4 linked regions of the Oreochromis niloticus genome follow. The protein of the gene in region 1 purifies or fractionates together with the protein of each later gene. This does not show direct contact. Links are inferred from orthologs where the notes say so. Each region holds a gene or a part of one and is shown in the gene's direction. Other genes may lie near its edges. The genes, in order: aurka, ppp6r3, mtmr3 and calcoco1a.

What was found.
Region 2: the proteins of aurka (region 1) and ppp6r3 purify together in Homo sapiens (affinity purification with mass spectrometry; 6 studies listed by BioGRID and IntAct, counting the BioPlex papers as one, with this or other methods). This does not show direct contact. The link is inferred for Oreochromis niloticus from reciprocal best matches to the Homo sapiens genes AURKA and PPP6R3.
Region 3: the proteins of aurka (region 1) and mtmr3 purify together in Homo sapiens (affinity purification with mass spectrometry; 3 studies listed by BioGRID and IntAct, counting the BioPlex papers as one, with this or other methods). This does not show direct contact. The link is inferred for Oreochromis niloticus from reciprocal best matches to the Homo sapiens genes AURKA and MTMR3.
Region 4: the proteins of aurka (region 1) and calcoco1a purify together in Homo sapiens (affinity purification with mass spectrometry; 3 studies listed by BioGRID and IntAct, counting the BioPlex papers as one, with this or other methods). This does not show direct contact. The link is inferred for Oreochromis niloticus from reciprocal best matches to the Homo sapiens genes AURKA and CALCOCO1.

The regions. Positions count from the first base shown.
Region 1 is NC_031970.2:6,634,067-6,641,057, reverse strand, and holds the start of aurka (aurora kinase A), read left to right. Parts: upstream 1-3,966; 5' UTR 3,967-4,313; intron 4,314-4,734; 5' UTR 4,735-4,737; coding exon 4,738-4,800; intron 4,801-6,090; coding exon 6,091-6,430; intron 6,431-6,516; coding exon 6,517-6,559; intron 6,560-6,659; coding exon 6,660-6,851; intron 6,852-6,991. Other genes in the region: prelid3b (PRELI domain containing protein 3B), read left to right, coding at 284-400. UniProt on the Homo sapiens protein: Mitotic serine/threonine kinase that contributes to the regulation of cell cycle progression.
Region 2 is NC_031972.2:39,401,042-39,408,392, reverse strand, and holds the start of ppp6r3 (serine/threonine-protein phosphatase 6 regulatory subunit 3), read left to right. Parts: upstream 1-4,332; 5' UTR 4,333-4,544; intron 4,545-4,595; exon of another isoform or gene 4,596-4,727; intron 4,728-7,351. Other genes in the region: ric8a (chaperone Ric-8A), read right to left, coding at 2,277-2,369.
Region 3 is NC_031977.2:6,305,264-6,312,259, reverse strand, and holds the start of mtmr3 (phosphatidylinositol-3,5-bisphosphate 3-phosphatase MTMR3), read left to right. Parts: upstream 1-3,982; 5' UTR 3,983-4,099; intron 4,100-6,167; 5' UTR 6,168-6,243; intron 6,244-6,996. Other genes in the region: cux2b (homeobox protein cut-like 2), read left to right, coding at 1-72. UniProt on the Homo sapiens protein: Lipid phosphatase that specifically dephosphorylates the D-3 position of phosphatidylinositol 3-phosphate and phosphatidylinositol 3,5-bisphosphate, generating phosphatidylinositol and phosphatidylinositol 5-phosphate.
Region 4 is NC_031984.2:19,325,594-19,333,301, forward strand, and holds the start of calcoco1a (calcium-binding and coiled-coil domain-containing protein 1), read left to right. Parts: upstream 1-4,685; 5' UTR 4,686-4,892; intron 4,893-5,989; 5' UTR 5,990-6,018; coding exon 6,019-6,150; intron 6,151-6,240; coding exon 6,241-6,343; intron 6,344-7,128; exon of another isoform or gene 7,129-7,218; intron 7,219-7,708. UniProt on the Homo sapiens protein: Functions as a coactivator for aryl hydrocarbon and nuclear receptors (NR). Recruited to promoters through its contact with the N-terminal basic helix-loop-helix-Per-Arnt-Sim (PAS) domain of transcription factors or coactivators, such as NCOA2.

The DNA.
Region 1 (6,991 bases):
TATAGCCATTGCAAATCGCAAGAAAAGAAGGGAGATGATAACTGTTACGTTGGGGCAGTAGCAGCAGATTTGTGGCGTTTCACTTGTACATCCAAAATCCACTTGTGTGGAAAAATCTTTAAAAACTACGAGATGACTAGTCAACAGCTTAACGTTCTCTCCAGACCAGTCGCTGCATGAAGTGGGTTTACGTGTTTCAGGCACGCCGTCTTTTCTGTTCTTGTATTCTACTTGATGCAACTCATTTTCCCGCGGACTAACGTTTCACTTTGTTCTCGAACAGGGCCGTGAAGCCGTGGAGTGGGTTATCAGGCGACTGAATACAGAAATCGAGGAGCTGGCAGCCACAGCACGTGGGACCATACGCACCCCAATGGCTGCTGCGGTCACAGAGAAATGACACCCTACTCTGGTGTTCAGTTGAGTCTCAGATTGGACTGCACAGCAGTACAGCCAGCCTCCTTCTATGATGCTCTGGTCCTGTTTGGTGCTTTGGGGATTTTTGTATTATTTAAGGGTACAATTTAGGCATGTTGTGTACTTTTACCAGTTATGTTCTAAGCCGGAGACTGCTGCCTAAAGGAGGTCTGAGTGTTTTCTAGCGATGCGGCCTGGCGGGACTGCTTTGATAGGGCGCTGAAAAGTTGGTGGCTCACTCAGGGAGATTTAAACACTACTGCCATTTGTATCTTTGAAAAAAGGTGCAATGTGGATGGACTGGAAACACAAGAAATGTGCCAATGCAGACGCTGCTTTTTGTCTTTACAAATGCCTTCTCCAGGTGTGTTTTCATCTGGCAGAAATGTGTCAGAATGCCAGCACATCGTCTCTGGTCTGAGCTTCACGTTTACAGCAGAAGAGTCGGAAAGAAAAACAGTTCATGGTGAGACGTATAGGAGTGACTGTAACAAATGCGTACACTGAGAAATGATGGCTGATATTAGCCATGGAGGTCAAGCGCACCGAATGTCACAAATGCATGCAAGCAGGTCAGATTAAACGGTTTGGGTTATCCACAGTGATCACAGTAAGGTTTATTTGTGTAAGAGAGCCACTTCAACACTGTTTTCCTATGGGACCTCAGTTACAACAACAGACTGTAATAGGTACGAATGAAAGCCTGATACTAAACTGTACTGATGTAATGTAATAACTTATGTTATTGAGGTATTTAAGTTGAAATGAAGGGATCAAAGTACTTGCCATATTTATACTTTTAAAAATGTATAGTAGACCTTCTCAAATGCTGCTTTAATGTAACATAAGCATGAATCTGTTTACTGTGTAGAAACAAGGGTCAGACTTCTTTTTACATACTAAACCTGAGGTTGTTTCAACTGAAGTAGTTTTATCAGCACGTACATAATCCTGTAAGCATGATCACTGAGTGCAGGGGCCGAAAGCTTCACACTTATTACCAGTAAAAGCTGCTACACGTGCTAAGCGAGCATTTTGATAAAACTGTTTCAGTGGATACCCTGTGTTTGAGATAGTCTCATAGTGGGAATCTGTGTGGCGATGGTAAACGCACAACTTTCTGTACATAAGATATTTATTAATATATATATTTTTTTACCTATGCCAGGAATATTTATTTTTGAAAAAAGAACAATTTGGCAGAGTAAACTATGAGTTTGGTTGATTTTTAAAGGCAAAATCACATGTTCACCTTGTAATTTGTTTTCTGAATGGGTTATTGTGTAAAAGATTCTCACCAAATGCAGAATGTGTCAATAAAATATTTGAACCCGTTTTATTTAAGAGCTTTTGTCAGATATTCTTTCTTGTTTTTCAGCTTTAATAAATGTGAAGACGCTCTTGATTGTGTCAAAATAACCTGACCTGATTGTCTTTGATGGTTTCAGTCAAGAGACAGTCACTTATTTTATACATCTGAACTGTCAGCTGGAAGCAATGGTTGTATATTTGAAACACAGAGGGAGTTACCTGACATAAACCAGAAACGCTGCACATTTGACAGGATGCTTGAAGTTCTGACTTCATCATGCAGGCGCCACATGCTGCCACATAGTGGACAAATGTCACAGTTACAATTTCTGTGAAAAAATTAAGGAAATGAAATGTTGCTAATTAAAAAGAATTATTTAAAATGTTTGTGGAAGAGGAAATGATTCATATTTTATATATTTTGGGTGACATATTTATACAGGATTTTTGACATTATAAAAATGCAGAACCCCAAGTCAGACTCATTTATTTTGAACCAGTGTATGAGCAGCTCTGTTACATATCTGGTATGAAAAAGTACACAATAATAAAAAAGCAAATACAGTTCAAAGAAGCATGGGCCTTATGGTAAAGGCCGGCTCAATTTTTTTGATCGATAGATTTTTACATATTATTTTCCAGTATACATTGTTTTCTTGTTGTTGTTCTCCCTTTATAATTTATTACTTTTTATTCTAATTAAGCATATAAATACATAAATAGCATATAAACAGCTCTTCAGTTAAATTTGGAATAAACATAGATAGTTTATTCTCAGTTTTGTCCTTACAAAAGGTGATGCACACCCAAAATGGCATCACCACTGCAGGTGCATGGTGCACTTTGGCGTCACTTTGGCTTGTCTTGCAGACCTGATTACTGCAATAAATCCTATTTAACTTGGGCTGACCTAACTTCACACCCACCACATCTGCATGCCCCTGCTCTTTTATTTACAGATACTTCCAGGGACATGGTGAGATTTCTTTCAATACATTTTCTGGCCAGTTAGCTCCTATTGGTTAGATAGTTAATAGTCACTGAAGTGCAACAGTGATACTGAAGAATGTAAGCTGCCCTTGCACAACCAGTTGCATGAAGAAAATAAAATTCTCATAATCTCTTTGAAAACAGAGAAAATGTCCTTATCGTCTGTGTTTGAGTCATTAGCACAATTCAATAAAACACCACAAATGGGAAAGAAGTTCTTTTTTTAATCCACAAAAATCACAACAGTATCCTATGATTATTCTGAATCTCTTGGAAGCCTGTTTTGTTGGATATATCTGACCCTACTGTACTGATAAAACTGGATTTATCACCACGTAATTAGATTAATTACCCACCAAGAGATGCCCAAAGATATCTTGCAAAAGGAAATCACTTTTCCTTAATTAATATTTACTTCTCCCTGGATGTAGTTTCTCGTATATTAATAATACACATCTTAGCAAAGGTTTGAAGACCATGTAATTAAAAAAATTCCACGTAGTTTTCTAATAAATCATTTGCTGCTTGGTTATATAAGCCTTTAGTTTGTGTAATAATTATCCGTGAGGGTGTCAGAAGTTGTTTTTCTTACATTTTCCAGCCAAAGTTTTAAAACTAGCAAAAACAAAAAGAAACATAAAATAAATAAAAGACTTTATATATAGTTTAGAGTAATTTAGACAACACAAACAAATAAAAGGAGGGCTCTAAACTCGCTTTATAATTTGCTGTTGATTATGAAAATTGCATTTTTTATTTACTTAAGCATTGCATTTATTCCTTATGTGTTGCTGATTTAACTATTTTCTTTTTAAAGAAAATCGTTCAATAACAATAATAATAATAATAATATAAAGACAAATAAATGCGTTTTGTAATTTCTGATCTACTGGGAATCAAAAATAATAAATTTAAAGAGATTTAAAAAGCGATATCATTGATAGTAATAAAAAGAAAGACAATACTATGAAACTATAAATAACTCTTGTTTTTCTGAGTTTATATTTGGGAAGAAACTTTTTTTTCAAGCAGCTGAAGTAATAATAAAGTCATTAAGTGTAATAGCATGTGGTGTGGAAGATTTCCTGTACTGACAGTGTCTGTGGACTGCCCCCTAGTGTTTTGGAAGATTCACTTCGACTTTAGTACGTCACGCTCCACCGGCCGCCGCGTGTAGCCTCAGCCAATGGAGAGTGAGTACTGAGCATTCCCTCAGCCAATAGCAGCCTGTGTTGTATTTAAAGGTTTTAAACCGAGGGCCGTTTGAAATTAAACAAGCAGTCTTCGGAGAGTTAGCCAATCTCAGTCAGTCTCTGTACTGCTACAGCTTTGTGCTTCGACTTTATTGTTTTATTAGCACTCATGTAGTATTTTTTAGACAAAAGAAGTGATACTAAGGTAGACTGGTCGATAAAGACTCGTCGTAACATCTCCGTGGATAGTCCTTATGTTTGTAGCGAGCCACAAACGCCAGCTGTGGTCTACTGGCCGACGTAGCTGTTAGCTAGCCTCCCTTGGAGCTGTTTTCGACCCGTTTATGTTCTAGAAAAATTATCGATTAGCGTTGAATCGGGTCATTGCAATAATATATTTAGGTAAGTGGTTTTATACAACTAGCTTGTTGAAAAAGTTGATGTTTTGGTGTGGATGCAAATTTAACTTTACCTGATCGGCAACAACGTGACGTTGATGGCTACTGTTAATCTTCCTGACAGAATAAACATTGTAAATTGTATATACGTGTTTAAACAGTTATCTCAGACACGAATACAAGAGCGTCTATATCCAAATAGGATTGTTGTTATTGGGTTTTGTTTTTTGTTTTAGTTAGAAGAAATGTCTGTGAAGGTTCTCGGTCATCCAGGTCATCGTAGTCTAAGGAGGTTGGAAGAGACTCTTAGCTAGAAGAAACGTGGCAGACTAAAGAGTTAAACAAACTGCATGTTTTTCTTCATTCCTATCATTTTTTTAACCCTTTCTTTGATTAAAACCTGTCTCCGTTTACTTCTTTATTAGATTATGGACTCTACTGCTATGCACAAGATGCCAAAAGGCACGAAACTTCAAAGGCCTGAAATTAAGGTAACTCATCATAAACCCGGAGCTGGTTGAAAATTTAATTAAATGTGTGTTTTTGTTTTTTAAATATCCTTGATTACTGTGTATGGCATTAGATTTGCGCTTCCAGGCATACCAGTGTCTTTTCTATATGGCTTATTAAGAAGATCTAGTGTATATAGAGACTCGGCATATGCATCACCAAAAATGGAGCTAAGAGAGAATTGACCCACAAAGTTGGATGGGTGAAAAGGACCATGGCCAAAACTAAGCACTTGTATGTGATCATAGGAGTACGATCCACTGATCCCAACTATGGATAGGATTTTAATTGAGGATGGGATTAAAACAGAATTGGTGTTTGTTAATTTAGATAACCTTGTCTTTTGAGGTAAAAGGTAAATGCTGTTGTTAAAACTTGTTTTTTTTTTTTTCAGATTAGGTAACTCACAAAGGTAAACAGATTTCAAGGTTTCAGATTTTTAGAGTTAATCATGCCTTGTTTTCATCCTGACTCCCAGCTGCAGCAGCCTTTTTTTCAGGTGACAGTCTGTCACTATTTCCCTGACTGCAACTGGTCCAAAACGCTGCAGCTTGACTTTTAACTGACATACGCAAGACAGACCACATGTCATTTTTAAGGCGTTGCATGCGTTTGCACCTTCTTGCCTCCATTTAACTTTGGGTACTTCCATCAGATCACTGAGATCTGCTTAGCAGGTTCTCCTAGATTAAAACAGAGCTGATCAGGTTTTTGCTCCTAAATTGTTGAACAAACTGCATCTGCACATCTGGACCCCTCCAGCATTAGACATTTTCAAAACCTGTTTTCATCCTTGGCTTTTAACTCTAATTGGATTACTTTTTCTCAATCCTGCTTTACTCATGTTCTCATTTTTTTTCTTTTTAAAATCTATTTTCTTTTTATTATTTATGTATTTTATCCATCCAGTTATACAGGATGGTAGCCAGCAGTTATTTTTTTAAATGAGCTTATAAATAAACTAAACTGACCATATTGACTACACCACAAAGGGCATTGTTAATCCTGATAATATGAGCAGAATTGGTGACCTTAAATTGGACGTTGGTGAGAGCATATGGTTGTCTCTGTCTCTGTTAGCCATGCGACACACCAGCGACCTGTCCAGGGTGTGCTCAGTGAGAGACTGGGTCGGATAGATGGTTAAGAAAATTAAGAAATCAATTTCAAATTACAATTATTTCAAGGTATATCTAATTTATGATACTTTCAAAAAATAAAAAGCTTGAAGCTTTTTTTTTATTATTGTTGTTTATCTTGTTTGTTTGCAGTCAACCAGTGATGGGCCCAAGCGGATTCCTGTATTGCAGCAGTCACAGCCCATTCAGAAGGCTGTAGTCACACCAACACCGCATCAGCGGGTTCTAGGTGTATCAAATGGACCTCAGCGCATTCAGAGGCCTGTGAGTCATCAGAAACCAGTGTCAAACCTGCCCGTTACTGTCAAGTCCACACACCCTGCTGATCAGAATGTGAACCCCGCTACTCAGAATGTAAATGCAGCAACACAGCTCAAACCCAGCACCCAGCAAAACCAGCCGAAAACGCAAGCTCCTAAACCAAACCTGACCAAACCCCAGTCGGAACCACAAAAGCCAGAGAAGCCACAGGGTAAGTGTAATACTAAACTGGGAAAACAATGGTGTTTGTGTCTGTGTTTTGGGTGCTAAAATGTATCCTCCTCTTTCTTTGTCCAGACAAACCTGCCAAGAACGATCATGCACAAACTTCTACATCAAAGTATGTTTAAGAGTGGTTCTTTGTCTCATCCATATACTTTTATGACAGGTTACAGTTTATGTCGCTCTTGCTGTAACCGTGTGCTGTTCTGCTCACACAGGACACGGTGGAGTCTGGAAAATTTTGACATTGGTCGTCCTTTGGGAAAGGGGAAGTTCGGGAATGTTTACCTGGCCAGGGAGCGACAGACTAAGTTCATCCTGGCCCTGAAGGTGCTCTTCAAAAAGCAACTGGAGAAGGCTGGGGTGGAGCACCAGCTGAGGAGAGAAGTGGAGATCCAGTCTCACCTCAGGTAACATCTGTCGAATTATATTTTACTGTTAATTGTAATTAACTGCTCCCCAGACTCACGTTTCTCAAACTGTGGTGAGTAGACCCACTGCAGGCAAACTACAGATAAGGGAAAAGAGGTGGGGTCAAACTGAAGTGACT
Region 2 (7,351 bases), on another chromosome or scaffold:
ATCTAAAAAGTAATGATAATCCTGAGATTTATAGAAAAAATATGATTAAATATCATCAGTCTTAGAGTAAGCTTATGGTTTAAGGGAAGTAGTATAATGTGTTATGATAAGCTTGAATTTAAAATAGAAATAAAATATCTGTAATATCACTAAACATTGCAGCTGAAATCTTTGACATTTTACTGGATGTACCTCAGCACTGATCTTAAACGTGAGCTCATTATCTTCGAGTAACTGCTTCTGCTTCTCTGTCCTCTTTTTTTTCTCTGTATCTAAGCGATGAATCCATTAATTACATTAATTTAAAAACTCCCACAGCGCTCTTTCCCATTACTCTTCAGTGTCCTGACACTGACTCCTTCCCAAGGTGTATCAGAGTTACAAGGAAATCACACATGTTATAAAAACTGAAAGAGCACAGTGAAATAAAGAAACCTCTCTAGATGGCCTGAGTTACGAGATATGTATATGTCAGATTCTCCAAGAAAATGAGGATTTAATCTCAGAACAAAGGCCCTGGAAATGTTGGGGAGATTATATGTCTTGACTGGCTAAGGAAGGCTTTGGTGTCCCCCTGGATAAACTGTGGCTGGCTGAGGAGAGGGACGTCTGGGCTTTTTTTTCTGGCCTAGTGACACAAACCTGGATTAGTGGCAGAAAATGGATGCAATGGATGTAGATATTTGTGACAAAACTAACTTGCATTTCCCATTTCTATTTTTACAATCAGTGGCTCGCATTAATTAAAAATAATTATTTTCAAAAACAAATATTTCTCTCTTTTCTTTCTACATTTCTTTCTGATTTTCTACCACATTATGAAACTGACTTGCCTGCAATTCAGACTGTGTCAGGCTCAACTCTTTGCATGTTGGTGATCACATAATAATACTTGGAACTAAACTACCACAGAAGTTCAAAGGGTAAAGAGGGAATTAATAGGCAGCTAAATAAATTACACTTACTGTCAACTTATGCCACATCATTATTATTATTAAAATTATTATTTTGGTGCAATGAATGTCTCAACTTTGGGATAAATAAAGCATGTTTTATCCTATCTAATATTCATTTATTATTTATTAAGTCATTTAGGTAATTTATGATATGGGTGGTTCTACCAATTTCCCAGCACCAACAGCAGATCCAGCAATACTTGAATAATGTTGAGGTCCAGGCTCCTGGGAGGCCAATCCACATCCAGTGAAATTTGTGACGGCATTTCAGTGTGTCTTCTATCCAGGTATGCCTTTACTGCATTGTCAGCATATTCGCTTTATCATTGAAAAAGTGAAAAATTAAGCCACTATCGCACACTTTCCAGATGGTATTGCACTGTGGATTTTTTGCATTCATAATTACATGAATTTTGACAAGATCTCCAGCACCACTGGCTGAAATGAGCCCCAAATCATGACATGCCTCCTCCATATTTTACCAGTGACTATAGACACTCACTGTACCCTTGTTGCAGCCCTGACATCCTCCATACACACTGGCAATGATTGGAACCAAAGATATCTACTTTGGATTCATCACTCAATAAGACCTGTTGCTACTGATTTTCACACCAGTTTTTGTGTAGTTTGGTGTAAGAATGCGTTGTTGACAGCCACCTTTCCACTGAGACCATTTCTTTGGTGAACAGTAGATGGATCAAGGGTCAGATGCATCTCTCAGGTATGTGTCATGTTTATAGAATCGGCTAAAGAAACGGGAATGTGTTATTTGTAACAAAGTTCCTAGCGACACAATTTATATTTGGATCTTTAAGTTCTCTTTAATTCCAGACACAGTACTGGTTCATCCCTTTAGTTAGATGTTTTTTAAGCTTGAATGACTCATAGGTCAGTGCTCAGTTGCTTAACCATCAAAAACACATTGCTGTCAGGTCAAAAATCTGTCAGGTACAAGGACTGGGCTGAAAATGAGTGAAAAGCAGCGAATGTCCAAAGAAGAACTTTGAAAGACCCCGAGAACTCCTTGAGAACTGTTGCTTAATATCCCTTTAAAAATTACGAGGAAATCTGGCTCCGTGAAAGCAAAACATGAAGAAGAAGAAGGGGTGGCTCAATACACAATATCGTATAGGCTATTTATAAGGTGTACAATGCAGCTTTAAACCCCGTTTAATATATTAAAGGCTCTACTTTTGAAAACAGTTCTGATTTGGAAATTATTTCAGGATCATCATCTGAATGGAAAGCATTTCATAAACTCAAACAGCTGTGTTACAACGCACTGATTCCTCCCGATGTTGCAGGGCTGGTGTTTACCTGCTTGTTGTAGCTCTGTAAAGCCGTCAGAGCCGAGTCTTGGTCGCCCGTCTCCATCTCCTCTATAACGGCACTTAAATCCATGTTCATCATCACTGAGCTAGCTGCTGCTGCTGCTGATGTCTGTATGTTTGTTCCCTGGACTGCGGATTCACGTTATGCTCCGTTACCTCTGACGGATGAAAGCATGACGTCTGAATCCCGAAGATCTGATGAGAAGCGATTAGCGAACGGGGATTTGTGCCAGCCAAGTGCTGCGTTTAGAGTCCCAAGAAAAGACGGGAGAAATAAAATTTGTGATTAAATTTTTGTAAATGGAAAAAACAAGTGAGGATGTGGATCACAAGAAACGTTAAGAGCAATATTAGACATCACTATATATGCATAGTCTAACGACTGTAAAAGAACGCTCCTCTCTCAGACTGCGGGCTGCTTGTGGTGTTCATCAGAGTTTCTAAAAGCAGTATTGGAGGCCTTCAGCTTGAAGTGAAACTGTGAAGTGCGGCACACGTTAGAGAAATGCGGGTTGGTGAGACTGAAACATCTTTCAGTAACTATTCTTTCATCAAATCGAAGCTCAGTGTGCTGGCTCAAAATTGTTGCAATTAATTGCAACATAAAGTAAGCCATCAACGACGCTGTTGGATGTCCCCATAGTTAGTGAGGTTTCAGTAAAAAGAAGAAAAAGAAAGAAGTGAAAATCAAATTTGAACCAGTGATATTTATTATGAATTATTCTTGAGGAATTTGCAGTGCTTTAATAATATAACCCTTTTTGAAGCCACAAAACAACTGAGAATGAATTCCACATACATTTTATTTTAAGTTGATGTATCACTGATGCCATTTTAGAAAGCCCAAAAGTTTCGATCATCCTTTAAAAAGACAAACGGTGTATGTGTGCAAGATTTTCCAACCGGTAAACTGAGCGATAGTGAGCAAGTCAGTGCAAACGTGAGAAAAAAATGAATTCAATATAAGATAAGATAAGATAAGATAAGATAAGATGGCCTTTATTAGTCCCACAGGTGGGAAATTTGTTTTGTTACAGCAAAAGTGCAAAGTTATGTAGCAGAAATTAGAAAACACTGGAATGCAATAAAATAAAATAAAATAAAATAAAATAAAATACTATGTACAACAGAATAAAATAGAATAGAATAATATATACAATAGAATAAAATACAAATACAAATACTATATACAACTGAGTAGGAAAATACAAAAACACAACTTCGTCAGAAGAAGAATTGCACATATAGCAGTCTTATTGCACATGTGTGGGTTTGTGTGTTTGATCAGCTGCAAAAGTTTGATCAGTATCAAACTGACTCTGAGCTGTTCCACAGTCCTCACTAATGTGGCAGCAACAAGCAACTTGAGAAGTTCGGTGCTCTCTCCTGTAGCTAGTCCAGTGAACTGAAAGTTGAGCAGAATCTTCTTTTCACTGATAATTCAATTTAATAACACATGATAATAGCACATTATCAAGTGCTGCTCATATGTCATTCTCTGATATACCATTTAAACTGACATTATAAAGCGTTTTTGAGGTTACTGTTGTCGTTAACTGTCGCCATGTAAATAAAATTACACTAACACATACCTAAAAGATAAGATAAACACACGTTCGCTTTAGGTAACGAGGGTCTGCGCTCTTTACACTACCGCCCTCAACTGGGCGTTTCTTGAACGAGACGTGGGCGTGCTTGTACGCTACTTAGTGTGCTCGATTTAAAATTCAAAGCAAACGTGCGTGCGGGGTGAAGGTTTTATATTACCCGCAGTTTACCCAAATATAGTTATCAATTAGATGAATTACACTACATTAAACCTTCAATTTGTTGTGTTACCACATGAGTCTAACTGTTTTGCTTAAAATTCGATAAACAGTATAAACCCCGTTCTTCCGGGACACTATACACATACTCTGTGTAAATGACGTCTTGACGAGACACGCACTATATCCAATAAAAGCTTACGGCCTTGTTTGAGCGACGGGATTCACAACCAATAGTTTTGCGGAAATCGTTTGATTGACAAACATTGCAGCTGGAGTGGGGGAAGGGGTCGATGAAGTTGACGGAACCGCCATCTTGAAAAGTGCCCTCCGAAGATCTACATTTTCGCGCCTGTTAGAAACAGTTTTAAAGGCTTTATTTTCCTTACCAAAATTTAATCTTAGCTCTGTCTTAGTATCGCTAAGGTCCGACGCTAATGTTAAGATAAGCTACATGCTGGAGAGTTGGTGTTTACCCTTGTCTATTGGTAGGTACAATTGCAAGCTCATACACTTGGTGCTGAAGAGACGATTAGCCAGCAGTCTTTAGATAGCCGGCTAACGTTAGCTGGCTAGCAAAGAGCATACTTGGCCATCTTATCACTGCGCTGTCAGACTGTGGTTTTTCAAGCTAAGAGGAGGCTAACGTTAACATGGCACATTATTTTAAGGTACCTCGGAATCATACTTTTATTTTTTTGTCAAACCTGTCAGCCAGTTAATATTACCCTCATATGTGACATATATTAGGTAACTGGTTGAGTTCGATAGTACTGGGTTAGCTAACAATAGCTAGTGACGTTCCTTGTACCGGTGTGTTGTCTTTAACGCCTGCACCGTTAGTGGTAGATAGGTTTGGGCCTTAGGATGTAAACGAAAGGGTAATGACGTGAATTAAAAAGGGCTACTATTTTGACTCGTGTTTAGCCGAAATGAAAGCTAACCGTATCTAACTGGGCCGTTGTGTTTTTGAGAAATGTTAACTTTGCGTTCGAATGTTGGTTAGCTGAAATGAAATACAACCAATAACGATTGCGTTGAATGACTGCCTTTACACATGCTTAAGGAAATAATATTTTTTTAAACCGCTCAGTCTGTTGGTTCGGAACTGATAGTCAAGCCCAGATGAACCAGGTGATTCTGGGTGAATATTATGTATTACCACCCAACTAAAATGTGATATCTTATTGCATGTGTATAGTTGCACTACATAGGCCTGAAATGTAGGTAGAGTTGGTATTTAGATTGATTTTATTACGGGCTCGTAATGTTTATGTGCCTACGGTATTTTTATTATTTTCGGTCTCTGGCGTATGTTAAACTGTTTTTGGGAGTGATAGTTTTATCAAAATACAGGCGTTTTATAGTGTGAGTGTGGTGTAGTTGATGTGTCAGCTGCATTGCTGAGTTAACACAAAATTCATAATAGCAGAAATATAATCGGCATCCAGATGTCTAGCCACACTTGATTTGCCAAAGTAGTTTGGGATTCACAGCAGCCGGTATCCTGTATGTTTATCACACGCAGTTGCTACAGTCTCTTAGTAACAAGTCACTGTTCTGAATATAAGTAGGAAGGTGCTTTGTACAGTGGGTGAGCTTGTGATTATAGGTTGTCTGTGGTACAGAACTGGTAATTAGAAGAACTTTTAGGTGGGAAATCAATGAATAGGGCAAATGATGAGAGGCTGCTAGTCACAAAGTGTTTAAAGATGCATACAATTTTAAATGAGGTCTTTGCTAAGCGATTTATCTGGAGAAGTACAGCTCAAAGCTGGTTTAAAAATTAAGAGAAGGTTTACCTCCTTGAAAGCAAAATAAAAAGAAATGGGAATGGATTAATACCTCTCAGTAATGTACAGTAATGTACGGAACTGGCACACATCTCAAGAGTGTCAACAACAAATATTCAGAATAGTTGCTAACAAGAAGCTTTAGTTTAATGTAACTTCAAACTTATGTGAATATAGATGAAATCACAGAAAAGCTAAGACTTTAACACATTTTCACAGGGATTTAATCAGACATCATAATCATATCATTAAGTCAGGGCTCTAGCATTGAAGAGAAGTGGACTGAAAGATGGCTTGAAAATAAAGGGTATTTACATTGGTCTTGATGGGTATTGTTTGTCACTTTTTCATATTTCTATTGCATGTTACTGAAGTTGTTTAACAACAGAAACTGAAAAACGTGTACAAATAAGAGCATTTCCTTCAGAGTATTTGTACTACACACATTCTTAACATGGGAAAAACCAGGAATTTGCAGCTTAGTTTAATTCCAGCCAATAGCAGCACTTCAGTCATTGTCATTGCCTTTTCATGTTGTCTGTCAAAACGTGGATGGAATAAGCTGTCACCTTTATAATGACCATGTTTTATAATGCTATTAAAAAGTTTTTGCATAATAATTAATTGGTTTTATTGCCTAGTTCTAATTATGAGGAACAGATTAAGTAGTAGAGTCATGTTAGCCTAGATGCACGTCTGCATACCCAGTTGGTGATGAGAAAGAGACTGGGGAGTTTATTTTTCAATGATGTCTGTTATATTAACAGACATCATTGGATGGATATAAGTTGAACAGTTAAAATAGTAATAAGTGAGAACTTGTGCCTTTTTGTTCTTTAAAGAAAGGTCACTCTTTGAGCTCTTTGTATGTGTGGTATTTCTAAATGCATGTAGGTTATTGTAAGTTTCTTATTATTGGTGTTTAATGCCAGCTGGTTAGCCTCAGCTGGGAGTCATCTTGGGCCTTAGGTGGGCTAGTGATACATCATTGACATTGTCTCTTTGACTCACTTGACCACTGTTTAATTTTAAAAACACTTAAATAAAACAAAAAAACAACTATTCCAAACATGCAAAGAAAATCTGTGTAGCAGGAGTACAATGTCTCCAAAATGCTAGGTCTTTCCTGTTGGCATTCTCCACGTTATGATAGCTCTCTGCAGCAACCAGTGTGTAGTAAACACAGAACAATGTAAAATGTATCAGGAGGTTGTCACCACTATCCAGTCCAGCTTTTTGAGTCAGGATGAGATGAATATCTGATCCAAATGTTGGGCGGGGCATTCTTAAAGCCTTTAAGTTATGTAAGCACTTCTAAATGCTGCTGACTATAATAATAAAGTAGAAATCCAAGTAGAAACATGCATACAAAAGAGGAGTGTAATATTAATTTTACATACATGCTAGGGCTGTTCAATATAACCATATATATCGGATGACAATATGAAAACATCTATCGTTTCATATTAAGCTATCGTTTGTTTCGTGGTGTCGCAATAAAA
Region 3 (6,996 bases), on another chromosome or scaffold:
AACCTCAATAACATCATCCACAGGTTAGAGAGAGCAGCCAATCGAGAAGAGACTCTGGAATGGGAGTTTTAAGTCCACTTTAGGTGTATCCAAACCTTTGCGCCACACAGGAGAGTCTCAGAAGCTTCCTGACGTCTTTAAATGGAGCGTGGCTCCTGAAGGCCTGTCCTCCAAGAACGATAACTCACAGGAAATGGGAACACGGAGCTAATCATACGGTTGAATTCCCTACAAGAACTTGAGAGTTGAAAAAAAATTTATAAATGTGTATTAGTTTGTTTGTTTTTTTCCTTTTGATAATGCATACTACTTTGAAATATATGTGACAGCACTAGCTGTCGTTTTACTTATTGGACTTGACATGAAGACTTTTGCAGCTATGGTGTCATCAAATGTACACTGAAGTTCTGTAGATTGCCACTGGGTGAGATTAAAAGAAGACCCCTGTCTTAAGCCATTAAAAGCACTATAACTATTTGAAAAGAGACACTGACCAAATTTGCTACTTTTTGAATAGCAATTTTTCAGATTTTGTCTGTAAGACTGGACAGTTTAAGTCAAGTAACATGAAATCCTATTACTGACTGAGGGATAGTCCTTTAAGACTCTAAATATTCAACATCTTGTATGTACTTAGTTTCCTGGTGATATGTTTTGAAATATTTGTAACTCACTCGTATAAAATGTGGTTGTACATGTTGTAGAATTGTCTGCAATAGCCTTCTCTAAACCTGATGTAGCATGGTACTCACCTGACCCTGTTTATCCTCTGTAGTTAGTCACCTGTGATTATACTTGAGCGAAAACACGAGAAAAAAGAAAAAAGTTGAAAACCCTGCAAAAAACGAGAAAAAAAAGGAAATGTTAAACCTAATGAGTAGAGTACTTTTGAAGTGTTTTTGGTTTCTTTAGTTTGCTTTGAATAATCCTCGAGGTTTACAGTTTAGGGCCCTTGTGCTTTTGGTAGTGAGTGCAACAGTCACTTCGCACGAGCACAGTTTACACGATTTCTTTCAGACTTACCTCTCTGACTCTCTAAGGCACTGGTTCTCAGACTGTAACGGGCCAAGACACAGGACACCCAGTTTACCTCAGATTATGTTGATGCACATCATGCGACGACCATGCGTTCCATTCTTTTGCATAAACACGACGCACACTTGTTTGGACCGACGGAGGGAAGGCGCTGGCGTATCATGCTTCGGGTGCGAGCTCACGCCTCAGAGGGTCAAACAATGAAGCGAGTGGTGGTGGCGATTGGGGGGCTGGGGGGTTACGAGATAAATCTGCTGCTGTTCGTCCCTTTGTATGTGTTATGGAGTAACACCTGATTGATTGCACATTCTGAAAATCTGCGTTTTACTGTAAATGATACGGAACAAAACACCTCAAGCACAGAGATGCTGTTTAGCTAGGCCACCCCTGCTCTGCGTTGATCTACTTTGAGGCTGAAGTTCCCAGTGTTTAAAAGCATGATACGTACAGTGTGACCTCTCATCAGTCTGTAAGTATGCTATATTCAAGAACACAAAAGGTTACAGGTATCCCCTCATATTATCTTTGACCACGTGTGTATTGTGTCTGTAGACGTTTCTTTGTCATGCTTGCAAGATGTTCTTTATGTATTTTGCCTCTATTTTATACTCAGAACAGTTAACTAGATATTCAATACCTCGTGTATGAAGTACTTACAGCACTTAGATTTTTTTGATAATTGTGAGGACTCAAGAAAAATTTCAAATATCAACATTATCCTAACTTAGTGTCCACAAGTCTTTGCCTTTACTGTATCGTTGAAGTTGGTAGTGAACACTTGCACATGTCTACATAGTTCAGAGGACTTGGATTGTATTATGTAGAGATATATATTACACAATTACTAAAAAAAAATACTATCTTACATTCTTGGAACAAAAATGTGCTGATTATATTGAAATAGAGTGTACAGATTTAATAAACCAAACCCATTCAAGCCAGTTCTGGTCTGGCAAGCTTGCCCACGTTTTAGACCTTCTCTCAGGGTAGTCTTGCTTTTTAAAGCTTTATTGAAACAGTTGCTCTCATCAGTGGTGTTGAATATGAAAACTATGTGACGTGGAGAATGACTCCATTAAATATTCGACGAACATGTGGAAGTTGTATGATTATGGGATTTTCGACACTCACACGGAGGGGAAAAAAAGCGGATTGTTGGAAAGTCGTGGCTGTTTTGTAATTCATTACATGGATGTGTCAAAGTACAGTGTCGAGCGGAACCACCAGGATGAGGCTAAATGGGTTGCATTTTTTAGATCAGTAGACTTTGCTCTTGGAAATACTGTTTGGTTTTTTTTTGTTTGTTTGTTTTGTTTTGTTTTGTTTTTTTCTTGGAGCCACAGAAGATTTCTCTCTGGTTTTCTTACCATCATATTTTGTGCATAATATACTGTATGATTAGAAGTGGCATTTCTTATGTGAAAGCTTCATTGTTTCTCAAGGTAACATGGACATATGACTGAAAATGAAATGTATTTACCCAGACCATTATCTCTTCATGTAAAGCTCATCTCATTGTTTTGCATGCAAATCCATTCTGCTCACACAACAAGGGATAGACTGTTTTTGTGTTATTGTTCTTGCACAGGGACATTGAATCAGCACTTGAAGTCTTTTTGCATTAGGGAAGTCCACGCATGGTGCAGCTGAGAAATTTGCTCTCACAAACTTGTCAAGATTACAGTCAAATCAGAACCTGAGACTGGCCCTACAAACGTTATACTTCCAGATTTATTTTGTGCCATATCACATGCCCCATGCATTATCCTCATGGAGAAATGCCTTGTGGTGAAGTCTGATCCGAGAGGGGTGTAGGGCTTTTTGTAAGTTCAGAAAACAGCAAAGCTTTTTCTATATCACAATAGCCCTACACAGTAGATGTTTTAATTTTATAACTGACTTCAGTCACTAAATAATGGAGAAACTGATTGATTGGCAAAACTTGAATGAATGCATTAAGATTTGCTTATATAAAAAAAAAAAAAATCTGGCACCAAGAGTTTGTCACCAAGGGAAGTTGTCATTTATAAGTCAGCTGTGGGCCAATCGAAAGAAGCATCCTTCAGGCTTAGATAACTGTCTGATGCCTCACGTCAGGCTATTAAATGTTAAAGAATGGACAATGGTATGCCAAGCATCTTGGAAATGAAATTGCATAGGCTGTGTAAGCCATCAGTCAATACATAATTGTTTAAGATCCTGTTGTGTTGTGTTTTTATTTCTTTATGATGAGCAAAGAGTGCTCCACACATTAACATACAAAAGTTACTGCAAATTCATGTGGATATATAAAATATTACACTGTAGCGTGCATCCCTAACTATTTTTAAGTGTAATCATTTTCACATCGCACTCTTCTCTGGCAGTCTTTCAGTGAAGGAAACACTTCATCTTTCCTATTGAATTCAGGGTCATTCATGTCCACTACATTAAGCAGTGATACTTGGGCAATTGTGGATATTATAAATATGACAATAAACACCACTGGATTTTCAAAGAAAAGCCAGTCAAACAAAGTAGACTGAATGTTTATTTATTTAGGAAAATGACTCACTATTACATTCATTAATATGAACCTCTTGGAATAAGAATAATGGTTTTGGATTTCTTCAGACTGAATGAATGTCACTGATGACTAAATGTCATTGAGTTCAAACATCTGACTTCTAATTTCATTCACCAATCAGATATATAACTACATATTTTACCTTAGTGTGTAAAATGAGTATATATAATATAGTGTCCCATTTGTTTAATTAGATGTACTCTGTCTGCTTATAAGGCGTTTGAAAATCGATGATACTTGAGATCGCATTTCTACCTGAATACAAAAAAGGAAAAGGAAAAAACGTTTTAAAGCTGTTGTAATATTAATTTATCAGGCAGCCCACTTGCCAGTGTTTACATGACTTACCGTGTGGCTGAGCCCCTCCCCTTTTCCAGAGAACCACTCTGACGCGATGACGTCACTCACACGTAGAGCTCTTTAGACGGGAGAGTTCGCGGCGATGGCGACGACGGCTCGGTGTTGGAAAGGGACGCAGTGAAGCTGGCCTCGGCTCTGGTATGATTCATGTTCATGTTGGACACGTTGTTTTAATGTTTGGTAATTGCACAAGTTTCGGATGAGTCTTTGTCGTCTAACACCTCAGCACTCGTTTGACTGGTGAGTCCGCCGGTTGTAGTCGTTGCTCGGTGTGTTTTGACAGAGGCCTCCGCTCTGGGGTCCGCCCTCCATCTCATAACAACAAAAACAGTTGCAGAAAGCAGCTTCAGCCTAACCAGCTAGTGCTAGCTAGCAGGTCTACGCGCTGCTCTGTGTCATGGCTTTTAATGCCAAACGTCGAGTGTTAAAAGACCGCTGCACAACAGTTCACTGCCTGCCAGCAAATGTTAATTTCCACTGTTTGCATGTAAATAGCTCTTCGACTGAGCGTTAGCTCGCTAGCATTATTTTACGCTGTCGAGTGGTTGTTGATGAACACTGGTTAGCCAACAGTTTACATTACATAGCTGCAGAAAAACTAGCTAACCGCTATTCAAAAAAAAAAAAAGGAAATAACGAAAGAGGAGTTACTTGACTTAACAACCTGCTAGTACAAGAAGCGTTAGCTATTTTCTTTTCCACCCTTGCAAACGGTTTTTCGTCAACTAGCAACGTGTTAATGTAACGTTGCAGAGCACTTGCGAGAAGCATTTGTTTTGGGGTTGACCGTAGCTTATTTTTTTTAGTGGCCAAAACTACCGGTATCTTTACATCGAATACTAACTAGCTGAAATAACATTAACTGGTGATTAATTAAGTCCAGTTTACGTTTTATTCGCCCTAGTGAAGTAAAAGGTAACGACAAAGTGTTAAAATTGAGCTGGGAAATCCTTTTTCCCCAAATACGAAGTTAGCCGAGGCTTTTGCGTTTATACACTTTTTAGCGGCGCTGTTCAGTATGGCTACCCAGCTGTGAACGCAAAGCTCCGCTGTCAACCGTGTTGGTTCATTGTCTCGTTTCTTGTTTTTTCCTTATATCATTTAGACGCTAGAGTGTCGATAATGTTACCACTTGTGAAAATTACTGGCCTGTCACGGGATAGGAGTAAGGTTAAGGCTCTAAGGGGCTTAGACTTTTCTGTGTGACTGCTGAACTGAGAGCCAGACTGAGCCGTAGCCACGGGTCACGAGCGGGCTGCAGTAAACAGAGCCGTGTGTTGGGCAGATATGCTTTATCAGGTAGCAGCAGCAGTAAAAGTTGGCCTCTGCTCTCAGTGAAGTAATGACCTCGTTTGCCTCCTTCACAACTCTCTCTCAATGACCGGAGATGCTTCTGGCAGTACAGCGGGATATTTTGTCTTTTTTCTGTCTCCAGGCTGCTTAAATGTTCCTGAGAAGGTGTGTTGGTCTCCTGAGCTGCCCCTCCACTGACCCTCTTAGATCAAATTTCAGTCTTTGCAAGCGTAGCTGACCTTTACAACTACTTGTGGGCCTGTTTGCTGAGAGATCCTAACAGGTTGCCTTTTGAAAAGTGATGTTAGAGGATATCGATAATGGAATGTAAGAAAAAGCTCTGTATAGATGGTTTGCATGATCTGACCAACAAAGCTGCTGCTGCTTTTACTGTTCTTGATAAGTTGCATTTCTTTTGCTCTTTCAAGGGCAACCTGGGTAGGAACTTAAAACCAGTCAGCCACTGGACAAGTCCTGCAAGGTCTTTGGCTCTGCTTGGCCAACCATTTGGGCAAATTACCAACCATTGTTGGGTAGTTGAACCACAAAGCACAATTCATTGAACACTAGCATTTCTGATGTCTTTCACTACCCTTTAAGAACCTCAAAATGTGACTGTATGTTCTTAAATATGTATTGTGCACATAATTGTTTATTTTTTTTTGAAGGTGAACATTAGCCGATCAATTCACGTGACTGAACCATGTCTTTATGCAAGCTAAACTGTAGGCTCGGAGAACCAGCTGGCTTATTTTCCAGTCTGCAGTACAGTTTTAAGTGGTATCTGAGCTCACATGCAAGCCACTGTGACCACCAGGGCATCTATATTTGCCAGTGAATCAAAAGAGCTTCTGTAGCTTGTGTGCCTCAGTAAGGAGAAGCATTTTCTCATTATTCACTTTCATTTCCACAGATTTCCATGTCTTACTTGTGAGAGTTTCCACACAGGATCATCAGGTCTGCCTATCATCCATTAGTGATTGTTTGTGGTAAGTCTAAAAATCTGTGTTTTCACATTTTGTTCATTTTCTTAAATTTTAACCATGTAAATCCAACCATTGGATTTCCCCCATACTGCCATTTTTCTGACTGCCCAACATATCATAGTTGATCATCATTTACAGTCTTCTCAATGCCTGGACACACTGCATGGGAAAGGCATTTGTGCATCCAGGTGCTCATGTACAGCCTCATTAACGTATTATGAGCCACTCCTTTTTTTTTTTTTTTTTTTTCCCTCTCGCTTCTGCTTCTACTACTACTACTACTACTACTTTTATACGTGTAAACTTGAAAATATGCTCACATGCTTTCTAATGCTAACAGAAACACTTAAAATTTATGTAGAAAATGCTGTTAGTCTGTTCATGTCAGCAGAGAAATGAGGTTGGTCAGAGATGAGAGATCTGGTCTGGAGTCGAACTGGGGATATTGTAGTTTGTGGTTGGTGTCTTAACCCCTCAACCACCCTGGCGTCCGCACAAACATGTATTTACATACCAGGCCGGTGCCAGCTTCAAGAACAAGGTTTGAAACCTTAAAAGTGGATTTCAGTTTATTTCTAGCACACCCACACCACCAAGAACCTGGGTTGTATGTGGGCAAAGGTGAGGGTTTCTGGTTTAAATGATTAAATGCATGTTGAACTGAATTGCAAACGTAATTGTGGATGCATTCTCTTCTGGTAAAATGGCAGTTTCATAGTGTCCCTAAATGACAATTAAATTCTTGCTAGGGACATT
Region 4 (7,708 bases), on another chromosome or scaffold:
AGGGGGGAAGAGGCAAAGAAAAATGTAAAAGGAATTTGGAAGAGCTTTTTAAAGGGGCCATTTCATCAGAATCGTTATTTTTTTGCGGTTCTCTGAAGGCTCGTAACTGGCGATCTATGAAGAGAGACGTGCCGCAGTGGGGCTTAATTTAAAACCAGAAAGGTCACTGCACCAGGAAAGGTCCTCAGCTCAGCCAAAAATATAAAATGAGGAGGAGAAAAAGAAAGCAGTGGGGGAGGAAGAGTGGGCCAAGAAAAAGAGCAAAATGAAAGGAGATTAGAGAATGCCGACAGGGAAGGGGGGAACCCAAGCAGGAGGAAACATGTTCAAATAATTTGGAAAGAGTGTCATGGAAGGAAGGACAAAAACTCTAAAGTACTGAGGAAGGAGAAAACTGAGAGGATAATGAACGGAATTGCAATTGAACTGGAACAAGTTTTTGTTTACTTTAATGGTGTTTTTGCAAGTGATTTGTTATAATTGTGCACAATTTGAGGGAAAAGTACTGCATCAACACACAGTGAAGGACTGCCAATCTGTCCAACAATCTGTGTTGGCAGAAACAACCCTCCCCAAGCCTTTGCTGAATTAGGCTCTCCATGCTTTGGACTTGACCAGAGTACTAATGGTCAGATGGGAAATTAGCTTTGGCATATGCAACTCAGCAAAAAAATAGGTGCAACTCTGAAAACCGTGTCTCCAGTTCAGTCTGTCTACGTGAGATGCTGTATCTTGATCTGGCCAAGAGATGCATGTCATGTGTTGGACTCTGCCTTGTTAACAATAATAAACCACTAAAGTGTCCCTCCCCCCAACACACAGGGCATTCCACAAACTAAGATTCTGGTCTTCAATCACTTCTTTATCTATCAGCTCACTTTAATTGTCCACTGGGTTTTTGACTGCACCACATTACATAAAAGCACAGTGGGGCCTCATGGCAGTAGCACGTCAGCCTATGATGTAAAGCCTCGCGGTTTGCACAGATAAGACGAGTTCAATTTTAATGTTGCTAGCACACCGAGACGCACCAGGCTCACTTGTAAAACAGAATGCCCCCTTCGCTTGTAAACGCAGCAGCCCAAGAGGAGGAAAGAGATGGGGGTTGGGAACACTGAGGTGGGGCTGAATTAAAACGACGAGAGGTATTCCACTTGTCCAACTCCAGCAATCCATCCAATGGATCAATTTTTTTTCTCTCTCAAATTCCCAATCCACTCACCATCCCTTTTAAAAACTAATACCCAATTCCAATCACAGCTGCAGTAAAGCATATCTTGTAAAAGGTCATAGTGTGACCTCCGAGTTCTCTAAATTGGATGCTGGTTGGCCCACTTTTCTTTGAAATACCGCACAGCCTAATATAAAAGTGCCCTGTGCACATTCACATTACCAGTGGGACCTGCATCCAGCACATCAGTAGGTGTTCACATTGATGTGAAGTGTCACAGCACAGAGAATTTTACAAGATATTGGATGTTTTTGTTGAGGGAAACGCGAACCAGAACCTAAACATAAACTACAACATGGGGGCCCAGGAATTATCTGGGATAGGTGTATCTGCGTGTGCATGTGTGCTTGCCATAGGCAACATACCGGCATATAGTGGAGCATCTCTCTGCAGCCAGCCAAGGGAACTGATCAGATGGACGATCAAACACTAATCATTCCCTCACGGCCCATACCGAGTAAAGCTGTCATTAATTTTGCGGAATTACATCAAATCTGAGACATTCTTTATGTGGCCCACGGCCTGCAGACAGTTATACGACAGGGACTGCTGCGCTAAGCAGATGGGGCAGCTTGGCCGTGCATACTAAATACCACTGTCCCCCATTTCTCTACCTCCACCCTCCCAACACTCTACCCTCCTTCTAGGCACTCTGCTTCCGCTCTTCTTTCTTTGTTTTCTACCTTGTAATGCCTTTCTTTGACTATATCTTAAAACAAGCAAACATCACTACAAAACACAGTAACTACCATTATTAAAGTCAAAACTGCCCGTATAGTTTTAAATAATACCCAGCCAGAAAAAAAAAAAATGCCGCCAACTTATATTCTCGGTTTTATTCCCACGCAAGACACGTTACCCATTAACTTAGTATGATGAGAAAATAAATTGTTTACTGACATAAATCTTTAATGTTTGTCTCTTGGATCTTGACAACTCTAACAATTTGCTTGGCTATACACAACAGAAGGTCATAATCCCATTTGAGGTTTCCTTGGCAACTGATTACTGCTGAAGGCTAGTTGCAATTTATGACTAGTGACACATACCTGCCATTCCCTTTGAATGAGACATGTGGTAAGCTATATTCAGACAAACCACCTCAGGTAATAAAACTGCAGTAGCACTCAGGGGCTATACCATTTTCTAGCATTGAGAGAAATTCCAAGCCAAGCTGCTAGAAATCAGCAGATGACAGGGATTAAATTTGTGTGGAGTACTTCCACAACAGATAAATAAACAACATGTTGAAAGTTTTGTGCCAGAACACTATTTTTTCCCCCAACCTAACGCCTCGAAGTGTGAATGTTAGCTATCTCCTTCCAAAAAACAAAAAAGAGCTGTAAATTCACACGGTCAGCATAACTGCATGTGTGCGCAAGTTTGCAGGGTAGAGGTGGGATGTTATGATAGGCAGAGGAGCCATAACAGCAGGCAGCCAGGTCAAGATCAAGCAGTTTCATGGACAATCCACTTTAAGTCTAGTCTCTATTATGGTGAAGCCTTCACATTCCTACTGCACAACCGTCTTCTAATTTTACACAACAATGACGCTTCAAAGTCAAGGCTATGTGAAATCAGACACAACACTATCATAAAATAAAGTAAAATAAAATAAAATAAAATAAAATAAAATAAAATAAAATAAAATAAAATAAAAAATACAGTGGCACAAAGCCAGTAGAAATAAGCATATAGGATTAATTCATAAACAATACTTATGCTAGTATTTTTGGTATATCTGATTTTTCTGTGTTCCAGGGAACTCGTGATTTTAAAAAATGGCAAAAGCAAGACATCCACACTGAATTATGTTGATGAATACAACAGAAGAAATCTTTTTTTTAAATAATACCTAAGCCTAAAGACGCATGTAAACAGTGGCTACTGAATAAGCCAGTCATCACAGTAGAACCTATTTAATTATCCCACTGTGAGAGCGAGCCACTATTTCCATCACCACTTTGCTCACACAGGCTCAGCACACTATTAATCCACTTAAACACAATTTATAGGGTCTCAGCATTGACTGTCCGTCGGCATAAAATTACATGAAGCATCCTTATAGTGTCGTCAACAGACTAAATTAGCCAAACTGGACTTACTAATTGAGGAGGAGTAAAGTATTGTGTGACTGGAGTGTCTCATCAATGAGCAGAGATAAATAGGCTGGCTATGGGCAATGAGGTAACATCAATAACTATAATAATACAGGCTGAGCATTATTTAACTTGTGGTTGTGGAGGACTAATAACCTTTAATAGAGAATGCTAACTTTTAATTTCCATTTCTGTTAAATAGGTTTTTGTTATTGATGGCTTTTTGCAGTTAAAGACTTCTTTGCCATTTTAACTCTAATTTAAATTTAAATCATTTAATATAATCAGTTCAACTAAAACCAGTATTTTAATGTTTTTTTTAATTAAAAATATCAAAATAACACATTGTGAACCCAGATAGACAATACTACTACTGTAGCCTTGAGACATATCTGCACAGCCATATTTGCATTTCTCTTCTGATATATCTGCAAAATGAAATCTATGAATTAAGGCAAAGCTAGAGATGGTGAACCCAGGCTTTGTTTTTAAAATTTGCAGCATAGAGAGACAGTGTATCCCCCTTTATCTTGTATCTAATAGTGAAAGGACAAAAAGGCTGTGATATATTTTCATTGTGGGCTTAAAAGACCGCACTGTCTGCTTAGACTTGCATGTTTAATTTTGGTTTTCAAGATGGTATACTGCCATCTGCTGCCCGGCACTGTAACCTCGTCATGCGCTCTATTTGTCCTCATGTTTGAAGACGTTGTGGGATATCAGGCTTATCCTAAAGAAATTGCCAAATTGGGGCGCTTCCAAAATGCAGGATCACTGGATTATTTTGGAAAATGTTTTTGGCTAAAATCCGAATTCCCCTCCATTAAATCTGGAACGTGGGCTGACGTCAGAGGATCTGCTGTGGTTCCTGATTTACCTCATCAAAGTACAGATGATACATGAAGTGGAAAAGGCTCCCGTGGGACACTGATTTAAAACTAAAATAAATAGGCAAAAACTATACAACCTGTAATACTTTACCATCAAATTAAATAACCGTCATATTGCGAAGTCTACCAACTGTATGGAAAATAATGCGCAGATTTGTTTACAGCGCAATATAGCAAATATTTATGAACTCGAACAATCACTACACATAAAAACATCCGTTTTCATTATTACATCCGCTACGTGTGTCTTCCTCTCATCGCAAATAACACACACTCTTTCCATTGGTGAATGAGCAGGACAGCCGCGGTTTGGCAGATATCCGATGCGAAAAACAACGGCGGCCGATGAGACGCGTCAGATTACATTCAGCGGATCTGTTAGTCTACTGTGACCCTGGGGGTTGTAGTTTAAAAAGGGGTATCTCGGCGTAGTTTCAGCTACGTTGTGAACAACAGCTCCCATAATTCCACGGTGCAGAAGAAGCTGTCGTGCTTGTGTTTTGCTTTGGCTTTTTTGTTGTTATTTCGCGTTGTTGGTCCAGCTGAGCTCCGTGAGGAAAGCGAGTCTGCATCGGCCGTGTTTTTTCGTGGGTTTCTTGAGGACTGTCAGTCCAGTACCTCGCACATAGAGGGCTCCTTTAGATCGTCTGCAGAGGGCTGAGGACCGTAAAGGTAACAAAGACATCAGAAACGGGTCGAGATAATGTGCGCAGATCTCTTTTGGTAGTTAACAAAGCCCTGCATTGTCTCTTATTATTTGCATTCCCATCAAATTAACAAATATAACTAACGTGCACGGATTCAGGTCTTTCCGTAGTGGCTGTGATTGTTTGTTTGTCATCTTAAAGCTTTCATCGACGGGCATGACACACTGTTTTCTTGACATGTGCTACTGTTGGGCCTTAAGCCTCGTGCCATGTAAAACGAGTCCACGGAAAAGCTATTTTGATCACTGGTGCATTGTTTTACGCACTGTCTGTATTTTATCTTGTCCGTATTTACATGAGAAACTATTCGTACCTTATGTAGGTTTTGGGTGTTTCACAAAAAATAGAAAACTTTTATCATCTGTGATTATTGACTGTACCACAGGGGATAAATACAAAGTACAGAAGAGTCAAAGTTAATCCAAGTTTAAAGAACATGCTTGTTGTAAATCCTCATTGGGTTTATTGTGCGCTTGCTTTATTTTTGTTCCTTTTGAAAATCTCATCATACTTGTCTCTACTGCTCTATTAAAATGTATATTTACCATGTGTTTCACCTTGTTTGTGTAACAGTGTACCATCACATCATAAATGTTGCCTATACCATAGTTATTACGCCACACACAAAAATAATGCTTTCTGTAGGCAAGCAGTGTGGTTAACTGCAGGGATACCACAAGTTCGTGGGAAGTAACCACTAGTGGAATCTGAGCCCATATACTGCATGCCTACACGTGACGCTGTATAATAGCAAATGATTTTGAAGATGACTGAAATAGCCCCCGGTGACAACCTGTGTAACGTGTCGTGTTGCCTGAAGACCATGCTGTCACTGAGGATTAGTTCTGCATCGGTGCTGTTTCCTTAAGTGTGCACTCAGTCTAGATCTTACACTGAACAAAAATATTCACACACTTGGGGCCTCTTGTTTGTTCAGCAGTGACCACCTCTTACCTATATCCCAGAAATAGCTGTGTAATGTAATGTGTAATGTAACTGTGCATGTTGGTTTGTAGGTTGATTTTGGGTTTGTTTTTTTTTTCCTTCTTTTCTTTCTTGTAGGTGCAATAGAGCATTTGTTTTGTGTTGCCATGGATAAGGATTGGCAGGTGGAGTTTAGAAACGTGGGCTGCAGCTACTTTCCTGAGAGCAGAGTCGACTGCCACTACACGCTGAGCTCACGGCACATATGGGCCAGTAATGATTGGATAGGGCTCTTCAAGGTATTGCTATTCTGATGAATTTCTCGAAAAGCAACTAAATAAATAATATCCAACTTAAAGTTAACACTGTGCACACATTTTCTTCTTCAGGAGGGATGGACATCAGTAAAGGACTACCACACCTTTGTATGGGCGCTAGCCCCGGCTGACTACCAAGAGGGCACAGATGTCAACTGCTGTGTTCAGTTTCAGGGTATTCATACATTTGTTTTCTAACTGTGTTTACTTCCCATAGTCACACAGGATCTGTACTAGATCAGCACATAAAACCTTCAGCAGGAGATTGATGCCTCTGTAAAATGAATTGCTCTGTTATTTACAAAATGCTAGCGAATCACATACTGAGTGGAAGCAAATGTTTATTTCTATCTTAAAATAATTCTTCAGCAGAAAAAAGGGGGAAAAATCCTGTGCACAAGACAAATATCTAACTTAGCTTGGTTTCTAACAGAGACACTCTCTGTCATGGTTTGAATTCATTTCTTTAGTAAGCAGGAGGTTGAGTAATGAGGATGACAAAGACAATGGCCCAAAGGCTGCTCTGCTGACTGCTGCTGCTCACTGGAGAATACAGTGTTCACTTTGTCCTGTGTGTCAGGGGCAGCTGATAAGCCTGATTGAGGGTGAGGGGCACGTGTACAGCAGGTGTGGCATTGACCCCTGGTAAAGTGATTTATCGCTAACTTAAACATACTGTCAATGTCATTCTTCAGTACAGAGAAAGGAAACTAAAGAAAGTACTGATGGTTCCTTATCAGCAGCAATGCAGTGATTTAAAAAGAAGGTCGCCTCTTCTGTGACCTTAGCCGGTGCTCGAAGTTGAAATACAGCTCATAAACTTTACCGTATGTCATTCCCTCTGTCTGTTTTCTATCTTGGCCCTTTACTGTAGCTGTATTGTGAAACAGTAATTCTAAGTAAATCACTCCAAACATGAAGCAATGGTCTGTGTGAGATAATGATATTAGATCAGCTTACTTTATAGGCTGGAAGGAGTCACAGACTAAGGCTGACTGCTTTGTGGTCAGTGTGGGAGGCAGGAGGTGTATCCTCATCAGTTCCAGTATGCTTGGTTAAAGGTGCATGAAAAGGAAACAGAATCAGGAGTTTGGTGATAGTGAAAGTCTTAAAGTTATGCAAGTAGCACAGCTGGTCTGAAAAGCAGTTATTTTGCTCTCAAAATTTGTAAGCCTTCAACTTTATGAGAGACATTCTTATGCCAAACAGTGATTGCTGATGTGTTTTTATGACTAATATCTTTGCTTATATTGGTAGATAGGCTGTAGTCAACAGGATTTATGAAGTGGTTACGTACAAAATAAAGAAATGACCTGTTCTGCAAGTGTCTTTTAACTCAGCATTATCGTACCCACTCTGTGCTCTACATTTTAATCAATCCAGTCCTTTTGGGCCACTTAAAATATCTTTATAGATCTGTTATGTTATATTTGTTGCAATTTCTCCTGCCCTCTTGGCCAGCTCTCTTTTGAAGAAGACATTTTTACTGTCAACGATAGTTTTTACATCGATTCATAAAGGATATATAAAAGTCACTTTG